Linked DNA regions of Drosophila melanogaster. The protein of the gene in region 3 interacts with the protein of the main gene of each other region in a pairwise test. Each region holds a gene or a part of one and is shown on either strand. Other genes may lie near its edges. The genes, in order: CG15012, CG10165, CG31675 and CG32987.

Region 1 (4,130 bases), on a different chromosome or scaffold from region 3:
CTTTGGTTATTTATTGAGATCCCACAATCCGCCACTTTCAAATGGTTTCCTACTTTACCACTACGCTCTATCCTTCATATGTTTCCCTAGTTTTAGGCAAAGCGAAATTGAATTGTCAGACTTGTTAAGTTTCAGTTATACCTACGCGGGATTTGAGGCCATCTGAACGAACAGATTAGCCTCGAATGTTACAATATGCAAGTTAATAATATCGAGAAAATAAACACAAACGAAGTAATGAAGCGGCAAACATGGAAAGGCAGAAAATCGTTTACAATAAGTTAATATAGCAAATGTATATATTAAATTATTTATTTATTACTTTATTTGATAGCTGCGAAATAATAAAAAGTTTACTTTTATTAAGCGACAAGTGTTTTAATGCGTTCTAATAGTACCTCTGATTATCGGAGCTTGGGAACGACTGATAAGGAAACGCAAACAAAGCTAATGCAAACTTTATCAGTGTGATGAAATGTTTGTGTGGGGGGCTTTGATAACAGCCCTTGTGTTGGCCGTGACTGGAAGTTTTGGTATAAACAAAACAAGTTTGGCAAAACGAATGAATAGAATAAAGAATAATATGGTTCGCATTGTCATACAAGCGAGGCAAATAGGAATATAAAATACGATCATCTTGAATTTGCTAACTAATGATCATAAACCTGTGTTCAAAAGTATACTACACACTTTTATTAGAACTATGATGCCGAGGAAAATCTTTGCGTGTGCCTGTTTATTTGCCGAGCACAACTTCGAGATCATGAATACACGCAGAAAAACACTTTTTAGCTGAGATATTTAAAAAACAAGAATGACCGATTTAAAATCGGCTAGTTTTGCCAATAGAATTAAAAAGGCAAATGAATTATTGGTTAAAAATGATATCTACGCTGGATGCTTTCCTCCACAGTTTCAATAAAACCAAGAGAAGTACGAAAATACATGTAAATTTATTGCAACACACTTATTTACATATTGATCTAATCCCTTTGAGCTTAAACACTTTAAAAACAACAGCGGACGCTAATCCGCAACTGGAATCGGATTAATGCGCGCATCCATTATAGCCGCCTGAGGTTTGTGTCCCTGGGACAATACATACGATTTCGTTCAAAAATATTGACTACATCTAGGTTGAACTAAAGCGAATTAGCACTCAAATTTGTAACAATTGATAACAGTGGTGGTGTCTATCTACGCGGCACGTGCGTCATTGATGGTGGAGGGCACATGTACCTCCAGGCCCTCCATATCCTTGGACAGGGTGATCTGGCAGCCCAGCCGCGAGGTGTCCGTCAGTTCGTACGCCAAATCCAGCATGTCCAGCTCCTCATCACCGGGTTTGTCGGGCAGTTTCTCGAAATCGCTGGTCTTGAAGATCAGGTGGCAGGTGGAGCAGGTCAGCGTGCCCTCACAGGCCCCGAAACCATCCAGATCCACATTGTTGTTGACCACCACGTCCAGCAGGGAGTCACCCACTTTTCCGGACGTCTTAATCTTGTCCCCATTGGCACGCACGAAGGTTATGTTAACACTGCAATAGCGAGATTGGTCAATGTTTACGCTGCTCTGGCGGTGTGGAGCTACCATTGTAGTGCTCGTGGGGTGGAGAAGATACTCACACATCTTTCGTTTTCAGGGCCAATCCCGTCGAGAAAGTACGCGTTGCGATCGGCGATCGCAAATTGAGGCTGCGTAGCGCCAATCTGGAGGCAGCTCTGCATGAGTTTATGACTAGCATTCTGGTTAGGATTCCTTTGCAATCTCTTACTATAACTGACAACACGCACCCACTCGTGTCGCTGCGATCGGTTGTTAAATAATAAGGAAATCAATTAAATTTTGTTAAACGTGAAGTTGTGTGTGACCGTATTGGACTTTCTGAAAAAGACGTCGTGCCTTTAACGTACTAAAAAACAACAACAAACTGCATAAGCAGTAATTTTAAAGTTAAACATTTAAATGTTTGCACAAATTATTGCACAAAATATTTAATTAACAGCAACTTTCTTTTTATAACGGAGTTAATTTGTGTTACACAAAAAGTATATGTTACTGCTGCAGTTCAGGTGTGAACACACTAAATACTGAAACAGGGTTGCTACAGCGAGTGAAGAAACCCTGTATTCACCTGCAGACAGACAACCCTGTGCGTCAAAACAAGAAGATTTAAGAGTGGAATAAATTTAATTACGTTTTAAAACCTAAACAATGGGCGTGTTGGACAATATTGCGTTGCATTTCACGGGGGATGCGTCCAGGAACAGGAACACCTCCATAATAGCCGGACTTCTGGTAGGCTAACACCCGCAAACAAAGAGCCGCCCGCCTGACAGTGCAACTTTTTCTCCTTAGTTTTTCGCAGGATGGTGGGTTCTAATCGATGCCATGTCCATCGACGGCAAGCACCAGATTACCACAGGACACGTCTTCATCGGCATCTTCGGGACCATCAGCTTCTGCATGGTGAACGCAGTGAAGGGAGAACATGTAACACACACTTATCATTGGGCTTAACAAGTGACTCACTTCTTTTGTTTGTGCGCAGATTTCTGATGAGAACTCATCGGAGTCCGGCGCCAGGATAGCGAAGATCTGGCTGCTTGTGGGCTTCCTAATGGGTTTTGCCTCCATCATTGCCGCCATCTGGGTGATGATCGACGACTTCATCAACAATGGTGAGAAATAAACAGATATTTAAGGATTCCTTAGCTGAATTGCACCCACTTATCGTTTTTCAGAAAAGAAGGATGGCTGGTTTGGCGTGGCTCTGCTGATGCAAAACGTCTTCATCCTGTTCGCCAGTTTGGTCTACAAGTTTGGACGCAACGAGGAAGAGTGGAATGAGTAAAGCTTCCATTCAAATTATTGCACAAGGGAACGCAGCTTTTAGTATCTAGACTCATTACGTACATAATCAGGAGTCCAAGGAGTTTATGCTTGAGGCCGAGGACACCATCACTCGCAAATCCTCACCCCACACATTGAAGCGTAAAATGTCCAACTCTGCTACTGTTCATATTCGAAAAAATCGTCGAGTCTGTACGGATTTCCCTCACTATTTCCGACATTCTGCCGCTTTGAATCGGAAAAGGGCGCAGAGCAGGGCCAATAATCTCATTTATATTTAACAAAATAAACGACAAGTCACTTGCGTAAGGCCACCTTTGAGCTGTACTTTATTTTCAGGCAGAGAGCGTTGTGAGAAGCAACAGGACGATCAACCCAAGCCGCCCGCTGCCCCGACTACATCTACAAGGATAGCGACCGTTAAGAGAAATGGTTTAATAGCTGGTCAAACTTGTGCATCGTACGCGTCAATGGGACACTCGTGCTCGTTTTGCAGGCACCACTGCGGCTGCATGGCCTCTGCGCCCAGACCATTGTCCACCAGTCGCTGGCGGTGGAGCAGCAGACGTGACTCCGCCTGGCGCCAACCTTCGGCAGGATTTGACCAAAGTCGTTCGGCCAGGGCACTGGCCCTGGGCCAGAAGCGGTTGTCCAGTGTGTGCTCGTCGATCTGCTCTGACCAAATGGCTCCCTCCGCGCCCAATACATGATGCTCGTAGTCGCCGGCAATGGATTTCAAACTATTGTCGTACACCTTCTGCCAGCCAATGTAGGGGGAGCACCAGTTGTTTCCATCGGTCACCCAGCCAGCTCCGCCGCAATCCAAGTACAGGGCATCGTAGTTGGACACAATGATCTTGTAGCCCCGCTCCAGAATCTTCTTTACCTTCGGATCTACACCAGTGGTCCAGATCTGAATGATGTAACGCTCTGGGTTCAGATACTCGTCAATGAAGGGCTCCTCAGTGAGTCCACTAGTCCACAGAATGATGGGCGTGTGCGTACCATTGGCCACCTTGTCCACGCGACCAAGAGCCTCCGTCTGGAAGTGTCCCCACAAGCGCATAAAGTCGGCGGTCTCCAGGCCCCAACCCTGTTTCTTCATCCACTGCTGGATGGGCTGGCTGCTGTTCCAGCAGCTGGTTGACACTTCATCGCCGCCCATGTGGAAGATATCCGGGTTGAACTGATCGAACATGGTGCCGTAAATGTCCTCCAGCACATCGTACATTTCGTTCACAGTGGGATCGAGTTGGCCACACGGTGGCTCAACGCAG
Region 2 (6,077 bases), 1.3 Mb from region 3:
TATCCATTACTGGAGCTGGCCATTGGGCCTAGGTTATGACCACTGCGGCTATTCATCAGTCGAGAGGCATCTGAGCTGGTGGACGCCTTATCCGCCGGCGGTGTTGCCGCATCGCCCGAGCTGTGACCCCCGCCATACTTGCTAGCCTCCAGCAGCTCCTGCTTGCGGTCCAGATCCAACTTGTCAAATTCGGTGAAGAGTTGGCGGTACAAGAGATTGCGACGCGTGATGTCGTCATCCGGAGGTAACTGCTTGCGCACCAGTCGGGGATTCACCTTGTAGACGAGCAGCAGGATGCGCTCGGCCACCTTTCGCACAGGCTCCGCTGGATGATGGATGCCGGAGCAGCCGCACTCGGACAATGCCCTGCAGGTGAGTCCACTATGCTTGTCCGTGCTAATGCCCTGAGTGTTGACCAGCTGCTCCAGCATCTGCAGCCGACTCATTGCCAGTCGCTGGTGGGTTCCGGATCCAACGCTTCGTGATAGTGCTGGCGCAACCAGGTGCTGCTCCGCCACCTCCGGACAGGCGGCGATGCTTAGGATCGTGTGCTGGGCCAGAGTGTGCAATCGAGCAGATGGATCGCCGGACTTGGCCAGCAATTCGGGCAGCAGGCGGTCCACGCAACGTGCCACCTCGTTGGGGGAAACTCGACCGGGCACATACTCTAGGAACAGCATGCGTACCGTCTCAGTAGCTTGGCTAAACACGGAGTAAACGGCATCTCTTACAGCGCGATGCAGCAGAAGGGCGGCGCTGCGGGCCACTTTGTTGGGACTGGCAGCGTGCTCGTTGCTCGACGCCTCTAACAGGTCGTGCTCCTTTAGGAAGTTACGCAGACGCATCAAGCCATCCTCGCGGTCCTGAAACTGACGCGAATAGAACTGCTCCACCTGGGAATATACATATGTAGGGCACGTATTGAATATGTTATCTATTGGATTTAATGGGGGACTCACCAGCTCATTGCCGAAGACCAGGATGGGAAGCGCTGCCTGGCGACGCTCGCGGTCGTTCAGGCGCGAACGCCCACGGTTCGGATCCGCTTCCAGTAGCGCGTTGCCTTGGCACTCCCTTAAAAATTCATTAGTATTTGAACTGTGAGCGGTTTGTGTTTGTTGTATCGGAATGGCAACGTTTACGGATGCGGTTACAATATACATATAGGAGTAGAAAGGTAAGTACGATTAAAGGTAAATCTAACAACATGTTACTTTCAAATGCGTTCAAATAACGCCTAATTTAAAGTTTTGTGTATAGTTTCGAAATTTCATTATATGAAATTAACTATGAAACCGTTCAAACTATTTTTAATCTTTTATAAAAGTTTCTAAGTTGTTAATAAAAACATAAATACTTTTCTCTAAAAGCAAATTTTAAATACTTTTTAAAATATCTAAAAGCAAAATTTCTGTCAAAAAGCCTAACATTTAAAAGTATCTCAAAAATACCTAATTTCAATATATAAAGAATTTTTGCTTTTGCTTTAAAAAGATAAATCCTTTTCATGTGTTTAGAGCAGATAAAACGGCTTTACTTAAAATTAAGCTAATAGATTCTCTTTCGTTCTTTGAAATTCTGGGCGAGCGTTAAATCTTAAATTAAAAAAAGTAACGGGTGTTGTTTCTAACGGTCGCTAGTGTTGACAAACATTCAAACTAAGAGTACCGGTTATCATGCAACACTGTAATAGACAGCTGTTTCCAGTAAACAAACGAAGTAATTACTATTCCACAATTGTTTACGTATTCACTAGACACCCAGACAACGATTACGACTCTCTACGCCCGCTACTCACTGTCGCAGCGTGGGAATGGCCCGCTCCTCGTAGTCTTCGTAGGAGTTTCGTGGAACGCTCTTGTTGCGCCTGCGCAGCGATCCCTGTCGGCTGGACATTGGTGAGCTGTGCCTTGAAGGCAGACGTGGCGACTGCGGCAGCTCGTCGTGGGACTTGCGCCAGCCCCCCAGCGTGGGAGTGGGCGTGGCCTGCAAAGAGGTGGGCGCAGGAGCGGGTGCTGGAGCAGGTGCCGGAGCTGTCAACGTATTGTCGTTACCAGGCTGGGAGCCATCGGTCGAGGATTTGTCCTCTAAGCTGAGACTCGTCATGCTCTTGGGACTGAAGGTGGCTTCCGCAAGTGCCTGTGCCACATCCTGCAGGCTAGGAGCCGATGGCAGACTGGGCTTCCCACCCGCATAGATCTCGCAGCTTTGGTCATTGGAGCTTAAGGTCACACCCTGCGGTTCCAGAAGCTGATGCACCTGCAATTGTCGAAGTACTGCCGCCCGGTACATCTCGATCTGCTCCTTGCGTAGCCTGGCCGTGGTAAAGTCCTCCTGCTGAACAGCCTGCCTCTTGGCCAGAGCATAGCGCCCCAAACGTTCTCCGGCAGTCCTTAAAGCTGTCATGCATAGCTTCAGTTTGCGGGCGTACTCGAATCTTTCTGAGTTAACGGCCAAAATCTTTCGCTGTTCCAACTCTCGGATGGTCTGCACTATTGACTCCTCCACATACATGGAGAAAAGCAGGTCATCACAGACGGAGGCCAGGGCCAGTTCTCCGGTGGCCGTGTCCAACGGTGGGGCCTCGTTGGCCAAGTGCTCCTCTCCGTTGCCATTATTTGGCCCCACTTCCAGATCCTCGCCCAGGACATTTACCGCTAGTAGGGAAATCTGGCCTGTGTCATTGTAGTCGTTTCCTTGGACGCCAATCAGACGCAGCTTAAGATGTGTGCCCCTACGTGGACACACGGTTACGCTCTGCAGCTCCCGAGACTTGTAGTTCGTGTTGGCATTATCCGCCAGGGCAACAAAACCCAAAAAGTCAAAGTACTGCGAGGATGGAGTGCTGGGCAGGGATTTGGGCGAGTAGTGCAGCCAGAGTTCTACTTTCTCAGCTAAACGAAAAAACAACACATTATAGGGAATACTCAAGCTGTTTGTTTATATGTTCATCTTTGATCATACTAAAGATCAGGCATTGATTATTTCTAGGTACTTATTAGGCTTGTAGCCAATTCCAATTAACTTAGCACATTAACTTACGTATAAGATACTGGTGTGCCAGGAGCTGGATGCGATAGATCTTGGCCGGCTGCTGGAATCGGAGGATGATGTCATGTGAGGTGAGGCTGCCGTTCGGAGCACTTCGCCATCCGTGAACTGTGGGGCCGTGATTGTTTAACTCGCTAGCCGGAAAGTTAACATCCTCGTCTGAAAGGCAAGCGAAACGATCCAATCATCATTACTTTCATGACGTTATAACCTATGTATAGGTGGCGCAGGCCATTATGACTCTCTTAATAAGTCTCTTTTTCGCACACTCAGCTAAATAGTTGCACATGATAACGATATCGGACTATGTTTCGTTCTCTTTCGGTTGCTAAGCTAACAGCAGCGGTCAAAACGAAAGCTAGCATTCAAGCGTGCCCAAAATAATAAGCCTTAAAATCTATTAAATATTCAGAAACAGGTTATCAGTTATATATGCGATGAAACGTATAAAATGGAAAGCATAAACAAAAACATTTGAGTTACTTTAAGAATTCTCAACTATCACTATTTATTCGAACGCAGCTGTACGAGTACAAACGAATCTAACTTGTTGTTCTCTATCCTCAGGTTCCACGCTCTTCTCTTCTATATTTAAGCGATGTCGATGTTAACATGCTAGTTTAGTCGTCGCTCAGCCGTTCGTGTTTTGTTACTGAATCAGATAGTATTATTGAATCTTTTGAAATGGCGGAGGGTTACACGAAAGCCACTGCCTGGCTGCAAATCCACAGCCTGCTGAATAGCATCAACCACATTCTGATCTTTCTGGTGGCCGTCTTCTTTTTCATACTGGCGCGCAGTCTGGAGTTCAAGGATACCGCCATGCATATGTTTATGACCGGGACTGGAGTGAGTACACGGCGATAAGCACTTGGCCACAAAATCAATAGTGTTAGATCGACCTGGATAACACGGACATGCAACGTCACTTGTTATCTTATCGAACTGGAGCTGAATTAAAAGGCTTTTCTTGCTCTCGACAGTTCCACGTCCTTATCGCCCAGGCCATGATGTCGCATTCGAAAGTGAACCCGCTCACCCGTTGGCTGTCGCACCGAAACAAGTCGCGCTTCCACGCCATCCTGCAGATTGTGGGTGGCTCCATGGTGCTGTTGGGCTCCCTGGGTAAATTTTCCAGCAAGGAGGTGCACTTTAACACCTGGCACGGCCGAGTGGGTGAGTAAATAATTAGGTTAATTCAGGAAAACCGATTAAAGCTGACATTTTGCAGGGGGAGCTGCTTCCTTTTTCTGCGCGGCCAGCATTGTAGGCGGTTTTGTCAACTATTTCCAGCCCAAGTTCGCCCTGAAAGTAATGCCTCCATCAGAGCTTCGCTTCCGCCATAATCTATTTGGATTGGTCACCTTTAGTCTGGGAATGGGCGCCATTTACCTGGGCTACTATTCGAAATTCTTTACCAAGTATGTGGATACTGACTTTATTCCCGGCATGATGCTGATTACCGGCATTGTTTATGGACTCACCATTATCGCGCCGGTGTCATCGCTTCTAACTAAACTTAAGTATCGGTCCAAAAAGAAGGCGGAGCAGGCCCAGTAGGTGATACTGGGGAGGATGAGGCTGAGGCCATCGAGGCTAACCAAAATTTGTCAGGTCCTAGCATGAAAATAAAGAGCTTGGCGTTTGGCCAAATTTAAATCTCTGGCCGCAACTCAAATTGCACATGCAGACACAAAAAGAGTCGACAACCCGGCAGTCTGACAATATTATAATGAAATATTACAGTCATCGTGGTTGCAGTGGTTTTAGGACGTGGTAAATTGGCCGAGACTTTGGAAAATTGATTTAGCATCCTGGCCATATTTAAATCGGACTATTGCCAGCTGATTAGCTGCAATTAAAAAGGCAGCGCCAGTCTATTTTAAATTCCAACGTCCTGGCGCACTAGGCGTATGCGTGATTTATCGATTTCTCAAGTGCAGCGAATTTTAAAGGAAGAAAGGGAGGTGGAAGACGTTTAGCTCTCAGCCAAATCCTGTCGCAACTAAAAATGCAATTAAGAACATAAAAAACACACAAAATAAAGCAAACAAATAAGAAAACTATAAATAATAAAAATCTTTCTGCAGCTTTCAGTTCATAATATATCCGAAGTTTTGTTTACCTGAGGCGAACACCACGTTAAAAGGTATTTTCTTAGCCATGTTGACGTCGCGCCGTCAAAAGCGCACTACTTTGCCACTTTTATTCGCTAATCCGCACATAAAGTGAGCACTTATTCTTAAAGCGGCCGTTCGCGAACTGTGTGACCGCACAATTTTTTATGATTTTTACCCTTGTGCTCTGGAAAGTATACTATAAAACTTTATTCGGCTGGGCGAATATACCAAAAACATACATCATCTACATAGAATGTTATTTGTTCAGCTTTATATTAAAGTCAATATTTTGTCAAATTAGATATTTTAATATCATTTATTTAACACATTTAAATTTACATTTGGAATTCGATACGTTTTAGCCACTATCTAACTATCTAGCCACTATCGACTTCGCTATCGATTCGAGCCAGCTGTTTTGTATTATTGAATTGACCAACACTCTTGTAGTTTTAATTGAAATTATTTACACGGTTCTTGAGAACAATTACAATGCCAACAAATGGCCATAAATACAGCATTTTGATGCCCACTTACAATGAAAAGGATAATTTGCCCATTATAATATGGCTAATTGTGAAATACATGAAGGCGAGGTGAGTAGCGGCTGCTCTAAGGTGCAAATTCAGGTATTAATTGCTCCCCCTTTGCAGCGGCTTGGAATACGAGGTGATTGTGATTGATGATGGTAGTCCGGATGGAACACTAGACGTGGCCAAAGACCTGCAGAAGATCTACGGGGAGGACAAGATTGTGCTGAGACCACGTGGCTCCAAATTGGGACTCGGAACGGCCTACATACATGGCATCAAACATGCCACCGGCGACTTTATAGTTATCATCGATGCGGACTTGAGTCATCATGTGAGTCTAGATAACAGGGTTAAACTAATAATAAGATAAACT
Region 3 (4,873 bases):
GACCATCGACAGTAAGTAATCTGGTGGGGATCGGCCATAGCCATGATCTCATCGTATCGATTGCCCACGCGAAACCATCCCCATTTAAGCAATTTAGGTTGATAAATTAACTGGGTCTTAGTGCTCACAATGAGAATAATTGAGTTTTCACTCTTACCTGAAAATATGATTGATTCTAAAGCAACGAAATAACAAGAAATATTTGTTCAAAACAAATTAATTAATAGAATATACCTCTGACACTTCTTAATGAAAGAGAATGAGAGAATCTAGGCGTTTAGCATCGAAATATATTTAGAACTGTTCAAGATCAGCGACTTGCTATTGGAATTAAATATATATATGCATATCGTGTGTAGACCATGGAAGGAACCACATATGATGAATGGGGCATACTCATAAATATGAGAAGAAGGTTCAGATAAGGTAGACTGTACTGACTATCTTACATGTATAAAAACAATATCTATTGTATATATGTACTTCCTCATTTATTATACTATAATGATAAAGTGCGTTTGCTCACAGGCAAGTGCGTTAATCTCACAACGGAGATTAGTCGCTGTCCCACAGCAATATGTGCCCTTCATTAAAAATGCATCATGACAATGGACATAAACGCAGCAGTACCTTTTTAAGTGATTTGTTCACAATTTACTTGATTGTCCAGCGATTCCCAAGCATAAATACTCCCTAGGGCTATATGGTATTGAGAATAATTGGACCCCATTCACTTTTGCTACGGAATTATTTATGTTCGGTGACCGCAACATCGCCTCAGTCAATTGTTTGCTAATTACATTAACATTCGACCACGTCTTGCGTTTTATTGAATACATCATCGTCAGTTTTAATTAAACACCAGACAATTGGCATCCCATTCAGCTCAAAAGTTCGTCACATCTATATTAGAACTTTAAATGTGTTCTACCTTTTGTGAGATATACATAGGGAATTAATAATAATTATGGATTTATTTTAATGATTACAATTTGTAATTTTTGGATTTAAATATCATTGTCCGAATGTAAAAACCTGAATAGTCTGACCAAAAAAATATTATTTATTTAAAGGAAACACACTTAAAGTCAGAATATACTTTATAGTTTGAAAAAGCTGCATACAAATAGAATTGAGTATCAGAGAAAGTCTAAAAATGAGAATTTTTGAATATTTCTCTATACATTTATCTCCGAACACATTAGAACACACAGCACGCTTTAATGTCGTAATTTCTGAATCTAATTGCCGAATATATGATTTGAATTTATAATATATCAAAAAGAATAACAACCGACAAAGCATTTCCATTTACACTTAACCAAATAATTTGTACCAACTTCTAAAATGTTTACTTGCAGTTCCCGGTAACCCGCAAATCGTGAGGTCCTGCTACTTTGGCAACATCGCCGACACGAAGGTTGGATGCCAGACCGATCCCAGCCTGACGATCAACAAGTTGCTGAGCTGCGAGGTTTGCACCGAGGACGAGTGCAACGGAACCTCCTCCCTGGCCCCCATCGCCGGAGTCATACTCCTGTTCTTTGGCCTGGCCCGTCTGCTAGCCTGAACGAGGAGCAGTTTGTAGTACCGCTGAGCTATCCCAAACATATCGAACTTGCTGTTGGGAAGCCAGACCCATGGAGCTGCTTTAGTCACCTTTGAATCTCTTGTAATTGTTACACCCTTTTAAACTGTTTTCGCCCACATTAAATGTCGCTTTATTTATGTGAAGATATTTTATGGTTATTCGTAGATTAATTGCTAGCTTTAACTGATAGCCTTCCAGTTGGGCAAGCAGAAAATCCATGCGTGTCTGGCACACTTCAAGAACTGGCCCCATCCAATCTACGTCTCTTCTGCAGGGCTCTCTATATGCTGGGCTGACGATTATACGAACAGACGGAAAAGCGGAAAAGTTCTCTCTGTGATTTTACTCGCTTCGACCATACACTCCCAGTTTTCCTTTTCCATTTCCATTTCCCACAGGGTCGCTATAAGTTCGGCGCGTCAAGTCTCCACCCGCTAAATGTTCATTAAATTTAGACAAATTAAAACGCTGAGCGATGACGCCAGGCGAAATGGCCATAAAATGTTTTCACCACAGAAAAAAGAGAGCGATAAACGGAAAAGAGAAAAACGGCAAGGAGTTGAATTTGGAAAATGCTTTTGGCATTCTTTTAGTTCGATTTCGTGTGCGGACGTCGACTGACAGACGGCTCCAAGAATTTAGCCGGGAAATCGGGGAAAATCAAAAAACAAAACTGAGGGAAAATTGGCAACGCGTGTTTACATTTTTATTTCCTACGTGCTGAGACCCAAATAAATATAAAATAAAAGTCATTTATATAGTTGAAAACACACATTTATTTATATTCAAAATATATACTATATTTGCTTATACAAAACATACAGTTTTGTATGTTCAAACCTCGTGCGGATCGTTTCAATTGCGCCGAGCAGAGCTATAAATAAGCCCGCCACTTGAATTATTTTCCATAAAACCATCAAATACAACAAATTCCAATCACCAGCGAGAAAGGTGGCAAACCGATTTTCCTCCCATCAACAATGCAGCATTATTTACTTTTGTTTGGCGCGCTCATCTCGCTACTGGCCTCAGGTTTGTTTTTGTTCTGTTTGGACTTGTTTCTTTCGAATTTGTACTTTGCTTTGCGAGTTCTGCGTTTGCCGCGACCTGTCGGCTGTCCCCGCCTGATCTCATTTCTGCCATAAATAAGACGCGTCTCTGGTCTTCCCATCCCAATGCCACTAGCTTACGCCATCAAGTGCTATGCCTGCGAATCCGTCTACGAGGCTAGTTGCGGCGACGACTTCGAAGTCGAGAACCATTTTAAATACGACTGCGCCTTCATTGCTCCTCCGCGATTCCTGGAGAACGATCTGCTCAGCGTGAATGCCACGGCCTGTTTGAAACGGGTATTCAAGGGTGAGTTTAAACGAATATGTTTCTCAAAACACGTTCCTACGGATTTGAAGCCTTGCTAGGATAGTAACTTTAATAGTTATGAATCAATAGGTATAGTAAAAAGAAAAGAAAGTTTGAAATATAAGATTAAAAAGTGGATATATCGTAATTCACCAAAAATGTATCTATCCACCAGATATTTTTTTAAAGTAATTGTTCATTAATTACAAATACAGTCCGATTAGCAGCGGACAAAAAAAGTGTGTTCCGAAAGGTAAATGTCTGTATACTCATTAAACATTCGCAATGTTGTCCGTCCGAGATTTGTATTTACTCTTCAGATAATAATTTCTTTAATGATTTGTGACGCAAATCAAAACAAATAAAATTAATTATGTGAAACAGTCATACATACATTCATAGACATACGTGCATATACGGACAGCTGTGACCTTATTTCAGAAGAATCTCGTAGACTTTCCAACAATCTCTTGATATTTTGGACAATACGTACACATTTCGTATAAGCCCATTAAAGACGGACAATAAAAAATGTGTTTATTTACGATAAGTCAGCCCGAAAGTAGACTAACCCAATGTTTTGCCTCTGCAGAAAACGGCGTGCGTAAGATCGTCAGAGGCTGCTACTTCGGCGAGGTAAATGCCACCGATGTGTGGTGCAAAATGGACCCCACCCTGTCGGCGGTGCAGAACTCAAGTTGTCATGTGTGCGACAGCGAGAACTACTGCAACGGATCGGAAAATCATCCAGTGGATAAATGGAAAATCTTCGGCAGTCTGGTCTTGTTTCTCTTGGCAACTCAACTACTCTGAGGCGACAGGAGACGAAGTGGAAATGTGGAAATGTGGAGCGTGAAATGAACATTAAAAGGCACAGTAGCTTAAGTAAACCTAGTTCAATTTAGATGTATTCCCAAGGCCCAGGACTATCAATTAGTAAAGCCCACATTAGTAGAGCACACCATCCACAAAACCGTTTAGCCAAATCTGCCCGGCCCACTGTATTAATGGCTAATCAACGCCGAACATGGCGTATGAGCAACATCAGCACACCGAAATGAGCCGAAAAGCTGGCAAACAAATTTCGAACGATCCAAATACAAACTAATAAAAACTAATTTTACACAGAATGCCAAATTGTTTATTTGTTCAAATGCCACTAATGAACCTTGCCTGAAATAAATGGATTGGCGAGGAAAGGGCAAAGGGAATGGCAGGGCAGGGTAGGGCAAGGCAGAGCACGATGTCAACACGCATTGGCCAGGGAAAAGCCAACGATGGAGAAGTGAAAATGTGAAAAAATCTGTTATGAAAATCAAATTCACATTCTGAATGCGATTGTTCGCACGTTCAGTTCAGTTTCTGTTTAGTTCAGTCGCGTGTGTGCATCGCTTCGAGTCGGTGGTCGGTGGTCGGTGGTCGGTGGTCGTTGGTCGGCGGCTTGTGGCTATATAGCGCATCTATCATGTGATTAAAATCGGTCCGGCAACCGAGAAGACAACATCTGTATTCGCGCACGTATCGGCATCGCCAAGCTATAGCTATAGCCATACTGACTCACCGCGACCGCCGGACGACAGTGGAATCAACTGTTTTCGGGGGCGGTACGATGGCGATGATGGCAGCGCTTGCCTCGCTCTTTCTGCTCGTCACGCTGGCCAGCTCAGGTGAGATTCTCGATTCGCGCCCGCCACTCATCACATTCCTGCCCCGAAATTGTAGTTCATATTTTGAAATATCTCAGAAGCAGAAGACTGTCAACACGATTTATTGCGAATCAGTGAATTTAGGGTTTTACCGACTGTTTTGCGGGAAACTGTTCAGTAAAGAAAAACATATAAACAGCTTTCTTTGTTTATTTCATTGTTTACGTATAGAGTCTAAAAAGTTCAAGAATTATATTACAAATTTTAATTAACTTAC
Region 4 (4,115 bases), about 12 Mb from region 3:
TCGTGTTCGCATGCAAAATCCCAAATGAAGTTAGGGCCGGGAAAAGTCGACGGGGGAAATGCCGTTAGTTTGTCCGGGGCTGTCTGAGGTGGGGTTAGGATGGTGATGTGGATTGTAATGGCCTGGTCCACTGCATACGCTCGCATGTCGTTGTTGTCAAGCACTTGCCAACGCTTTCACTTTCCTCCCGACCTCTCGTCGTTGGCCCTTTCATCGTTGTCAGCGTTGTGTGGGTGGAAAATATAAGCCGAAAATGTTATACCATGGTACATTGACCTGCCCTGAAGGGGCCATTGTAGAATAGTAAATAGTCCATATATATGTATGTGGCCCAAGGCCGAAATCTGCAAGAGAAAGATCAATAAACAAGTCGTATGAGTTATTTTAAATTAGTTGCTCTTTTTAGCTTTAAAAATGTTTTATAAATTTGCAGAGAAAATAGAATCTAATCCTAATACTGACATCCGCTACTTGATTTTCAATTTCCGAAAGGTATTCACTTTTTACCAACTCAATAATCCAATCATGAGGAGCAGGCGAGCTAACGACTTGATTGGCAACTCAAGGGTTATACTCCTTCGACTGCAAGCGTATCTATTGCATTGAGCTGCAGCTGCCAGATAACTGACATTCTCCCCGATCGCCTGCTGCCTTGGCATTTGCATGTCTTTAGCGGGGATCAAGGATAAGCGTAGCCAGCTGATTGAGATTGAGTCATAGCCGGAACAATGCCGTCCAACCGTCAACCATCAAGCATCAACCGTCTGTGAAAGTGATTGTGATCGAGGCCGCAGATGCGGCAGTAAACACATCTCGGGATCGCCTTTCTACTCCAGTGTATCCTTGTATCCTTTGCTTTGCGTGTCACTCAAGCGATCAGCAAAACAACAACAAACAATGCAGGCAGGGGAAAGGAGTAAGCATCCTTTGTGGCTGTTTTGTTAGCTTTGATCGGAGCTACTTAGCATTTTCCTTGCAGGCTTTGTAGTCCCCTTGGAATTCCGCATGCCTCGCTGAGTTTTCCGCCCTGATCGAACGGAATAATACTGCTTAGATTTATAAAATGTTAAATATTTATGCATGCCATCGCATTCGGTAAGTCACCGTAATTATCTCTTCCGCGAATCTTAATCTTAGGATAATTGTTATATATATACGGTGTATATAAATATTTCCAGTTCTTAAATCAGATTTACAGGCTATGTATTATTTTGGCTATTAGTAATTTTTAGTAGTATTAGTATTGTTTATGTTTTTAGGGATGTCTTCGTACCCAATCAGGGTGTGCCATAAATATTTTGTCAAAATTTTAAGTGGTTGCCCTCTAAGTGCTCCCAATGTTAGGAGGCAGTTTAAGAAATGACTGGGTCATCTATCCACCAGCCCTCCAGCTTCTCAACTTTCCTTTGCCACAGCAGCAAGAGCAGGCTCCTGGAACTTTGGTTCGATACGAGCATCCTTCGATACACCAGCTTCGCTTAGCACCCCGTAGATTAAGGGCACGACGTTCGGTTGTGGAAGGCGAAGGCTCCAGAGGACTGGACAACGGAAATGGCGACTCGTCGAAAATAATATTTGTGCGGCGCTGCTACATGATGGCTGGATTGTTTTCGACTACAACTGCGATCCTTGCCATAATCCTGTCCAAGGTAATTCCTCCGGAGGCAGATCTTATAATGGCAGGATTCATAAGTGCAATGGTGTCCCTAATGTTTCTCTTTGTCTTCTGTATTTTGACCAAGTTGCGGAGTTTTTATTGGTATAGTTTCATCATGGCCGGGTTGTTTGTAAGTCTGGCAGGTTTGGGCGTTATTCTGCTTCTCCTGGAGCGGAACCTTTCCCGCGTGTGCATTGCCCTTCTGGTGGCCTCCGCCATGACTGTGATATGCTATTTCGCTGGCGCATGGATACCCAAGATCATCCTCCCCGGAGAGAGGACCATGTTCCTCCTGCTCGTCATTTTCGTGATGTCCTCAATCTTTGTGATGACCATGTATATCTTCACAGACAATTGGATCTACCAGTTGGTGTACTTCACGTTATTGGCCACTTTGCTAATACCCGCATCCGTTTACCATGCTCAGGTGGTTCATTCCAGGCGATTCCAGCTGCCCGATTACGAATTCGTTATTTGCGCCGTCAACATCTATCTGCACTTTCTGTTGTTCTTTGCGGCCTTTTACTTTGTCATCTGGGCTCCCAAATGGTGAGAGTTATAGGAGTTAATTTAACGTGTCCGTGTAAAATAAAAAGAAGGCTTTAATGAGAAAAGATACCAATTTGTAAATAAAAGATATAGAAGGTGAGCAGCTTTGCCAGGAGGTAAGTGTCAGGGTGCAGGCCAGACCTAGTCTTAACACTCGGTCCATAAGGATTTTTAACGGGATGGACAACATTTACCACCAGGACAACATCCGGCCGACGATCGAGCAGCTGGACCCAATGACCCAGTTCATCCGCAGCATCTATAACATTGGCCTGATCCTTATCGGAATTACGGTGGGCGCATGGATTCTGCTCATGCTGACCCATATTCACCTGCAGAGGTACCTTCCGTTTCCCTGCTACGTCCTGGCTCTAATAATTTTTCTGGTGATGATATGCATGCATTGTATCCCGAGAATATCCTACTACTCTCCCTGTAAGTGGTTCATGACAGGTCTGGTGGTTGTGTGTACCACCTTGTTTGGCTGCCATTTCATCCACGACTTGAGCCCGCTCATTATCAGTTTCGTGATGATCGGCGTGGCCCTGATCATTATGTTACTCAACTTCTCTGGGGCCATGTGCCCGCAGGAGTTCCTGCCCGGCGGTGTTTGCTCCACGCTGCTGATGATGGCACTGCTGTTGGTCTTGACCATTGTGGGAATCGTCCAGCTCTGCACCGGGAGTGTTGAGCTGCTCGACACCTTCGTCAGCATTCTGTTCCTGATGCTGATCATAGCGATCCCCATTCAGGCGCAGTTCAACCATGGCCGTCTGAACGTCGTGGAAGTGGTTCCCGAAGAGCACCTCATGGTCTGCACCCTGACTTTATACTTGCATTCAATGATGTTCTTCTTCTGCGTGTGCTACTTCATCCTGGTCGACGAGAGAAAGGAGGCCATCAGACAAACATCTGAAGCTCCGAAAATTTCACTCGAAAATGATTTTGATTGAGAGAAATAGCTGTCACTGTGTGATCGAAACTGATTAGCGATCTGGCAAGTTACTATGGTGTTCCAGACCAAAGGATACTGTCATCCAGTCTAATTACTTAGTGCGGTGTAGCCTAGGCGGTACAGAAAATATAAATATATTCTCATTGCAAGGCAATTAGAATAAAGCCAGAGTATTATGAAAAGTCCTAGTCTCAATATAAGAGAAAATGAATCACTTACTTTGCTTTTTTCTTCAAAATTACATTATATTGACCTAAAATAATTGATTAACACATGAATAATCGCAATCGGGGTTGGGGTCGTTATGGCCTTAGAACCGGAAGACCTGGTGGCGAGCCAGTTCCTGCGGAGGGACCGGAGGTCTTAGTCATCAACGAGCGGGAGTTGCGGGCCTTCATCTTCCGGGTGTACCTATCCTCCGTAGTGCTGTGCCTGCTGTCTTCCATTTCGTGGATCATACTGTCGGCACTCGCTGTGAGGGTCTACAAGGCAATTCCAGTGCCGCCGTTCGTTTGGCTGATATTAGCTTTCATCATTCTCTCAGTGCTCGGCTGCATCGCACAGACTCCAGCATTGACCTTGTTATGCTGGGGATTGGTGCTGGGATCCTTGTTCTTTCTCACCCTGTTCGGAGCGTATTATATGCATCTAGTGCGCGTCTGGGTCCTTTTGATTGCCATTTTGGTTGCCGGATCCCTGCTGGCCCTGCTGCATTTGTATGGGGCCAAAAGTCCGGAGGTTCTGCTACCCAACATTATCTGTACTTGCTGCATTTTTCTGCTGCTCACCGTCACCATGATCGTCCTGCTAATACTCTTCCTGATCATCAATGATATGCGGTATCTCCTGGCACTTGCCATAGTGTTCGTCATCCTGATCGCATTCATGGCTCCATTTCAGGCTCGTTTCATTTGTGGAAGGCTGCAGCAGGTGCCTTATGGGGAGACTGCGGAT

What was found.
Region 1: the proteins of CG31675 (region 3) and CG15012 interact in a two-hybrid assay, tested with the Drosophila melanogaster proteins (one large-scale study listed by BioGRID).
Region 2: the proteins of CG31675 (region 3) and CG10165 interact in a two-hybrid assay, tested with the Drosophila melanogaster proteins (one large-scale study listed by BioGRID).
Region 4: the proteins of CG31675 (region 3) and CG32987 interact in a two-hybrid assay, tested with the Drosophila melanogaster proteins (one large-scale study listed by BioGRID).

The regions. Positions count from the first base shown.
Region 1 is NT_037436.4:4,290,238-4,294,367, reverse strand, and holds CG15012 (uncharacterized protein), read left to right. Parts: upstream 1-2,121; 5' UTR 2,122-2,214; coding exon 2,215-2,298; intron 2,299-2,358; coding exon 2,359-2,493; intron 2,494-2,551; coding exon 2,552-2,681; intron 2,682-2,744; coding exon 2,745-2,854; 3' UTR 2,855-3,160; downstream 3,161-4,130. Other genes in the region: Fdx2 (ferredoxin 2), read right to left, coding at 1,198-1,537, 1,626-1,744; Hexo1 (hexosaminidase 1), read right to left, coding at 3,189-3,255, 3,318-4,130.
Region 2 is NT_033779.5:19,525,911-19,531,987, reverse strand, and holds CG10165 (uncharacterized protein), read left to right. Parts: upstream 1-1,682; 5' UTR 1,683-1,719; exon of another isoform or gene 1,720-1,798; coding exon of another isoform or gene 1,799-2,894; intron 2,895-2,991; exon of another isoform or gene 2,992-3,042; coding exon of another isoform or gene 3,043-3,210; exon of another isoform or gene 3,211-3,217; intron 3,218-3,618; 5' UTR 3,619-3,735; coding exon 3,736-3,900; intron 3,901-4,034; coding exon 4,035-4,227; intron 4,228-4,282; coding exon 4,283-4,611; 3' UTR 4,612-5,078; downstream 5,079-6,077. Other genes in the region: CG10137 (uncharacterized protein), read right to left, coding at 1-893, 960-1,074, 1,799-2,894, 3,043-3,210, 5,177-5,216; Dpm1 (Dolichyl-phosphate mannosyltransferase subunit 1), read left to right, coding at 5,664-5,767, 5,825-6,035.
Region 3 is NT_033779.5:20,865,575-20,870,447, forward strand, and holds CG31675 (uncharacterized protein), read left to right. Parts: upstream 1-2,180; 5' UTR 2,181-2,571; coding exon 2,572-2,623; intron 2,624-2,776; coding exon 2,777-2,950; intron 2,951-3,542; coding exon 3,543-3,763; 3' UTR 3,764-4,076; downstream 4,077-4,873. Other genes in the region: CG9338 (uncharacterized protein), read left to right, coding at 1-11, 1,362-1,570; CG14401 (uncharacterized protein), read left to right, coding at 4,560-4,773.
Region 4 is NT_033779.5:8,861,470-8,865,584, forward strand, and holds CG32987 (uncharacterized protein), read left to right. Parts: upstream 1-2,341; 5' UTR 2,342-2,385; coding exon 2,386-3,159; 3' UTR 3,160-3,378; downstream 3,379-4,115. Other genes in the region: CG32986 (uncharacterized protein), read left to right, coding at 1,338-2,210; CG32988 (uncharacterized protein), read left to right, coding at 3,435-4,115.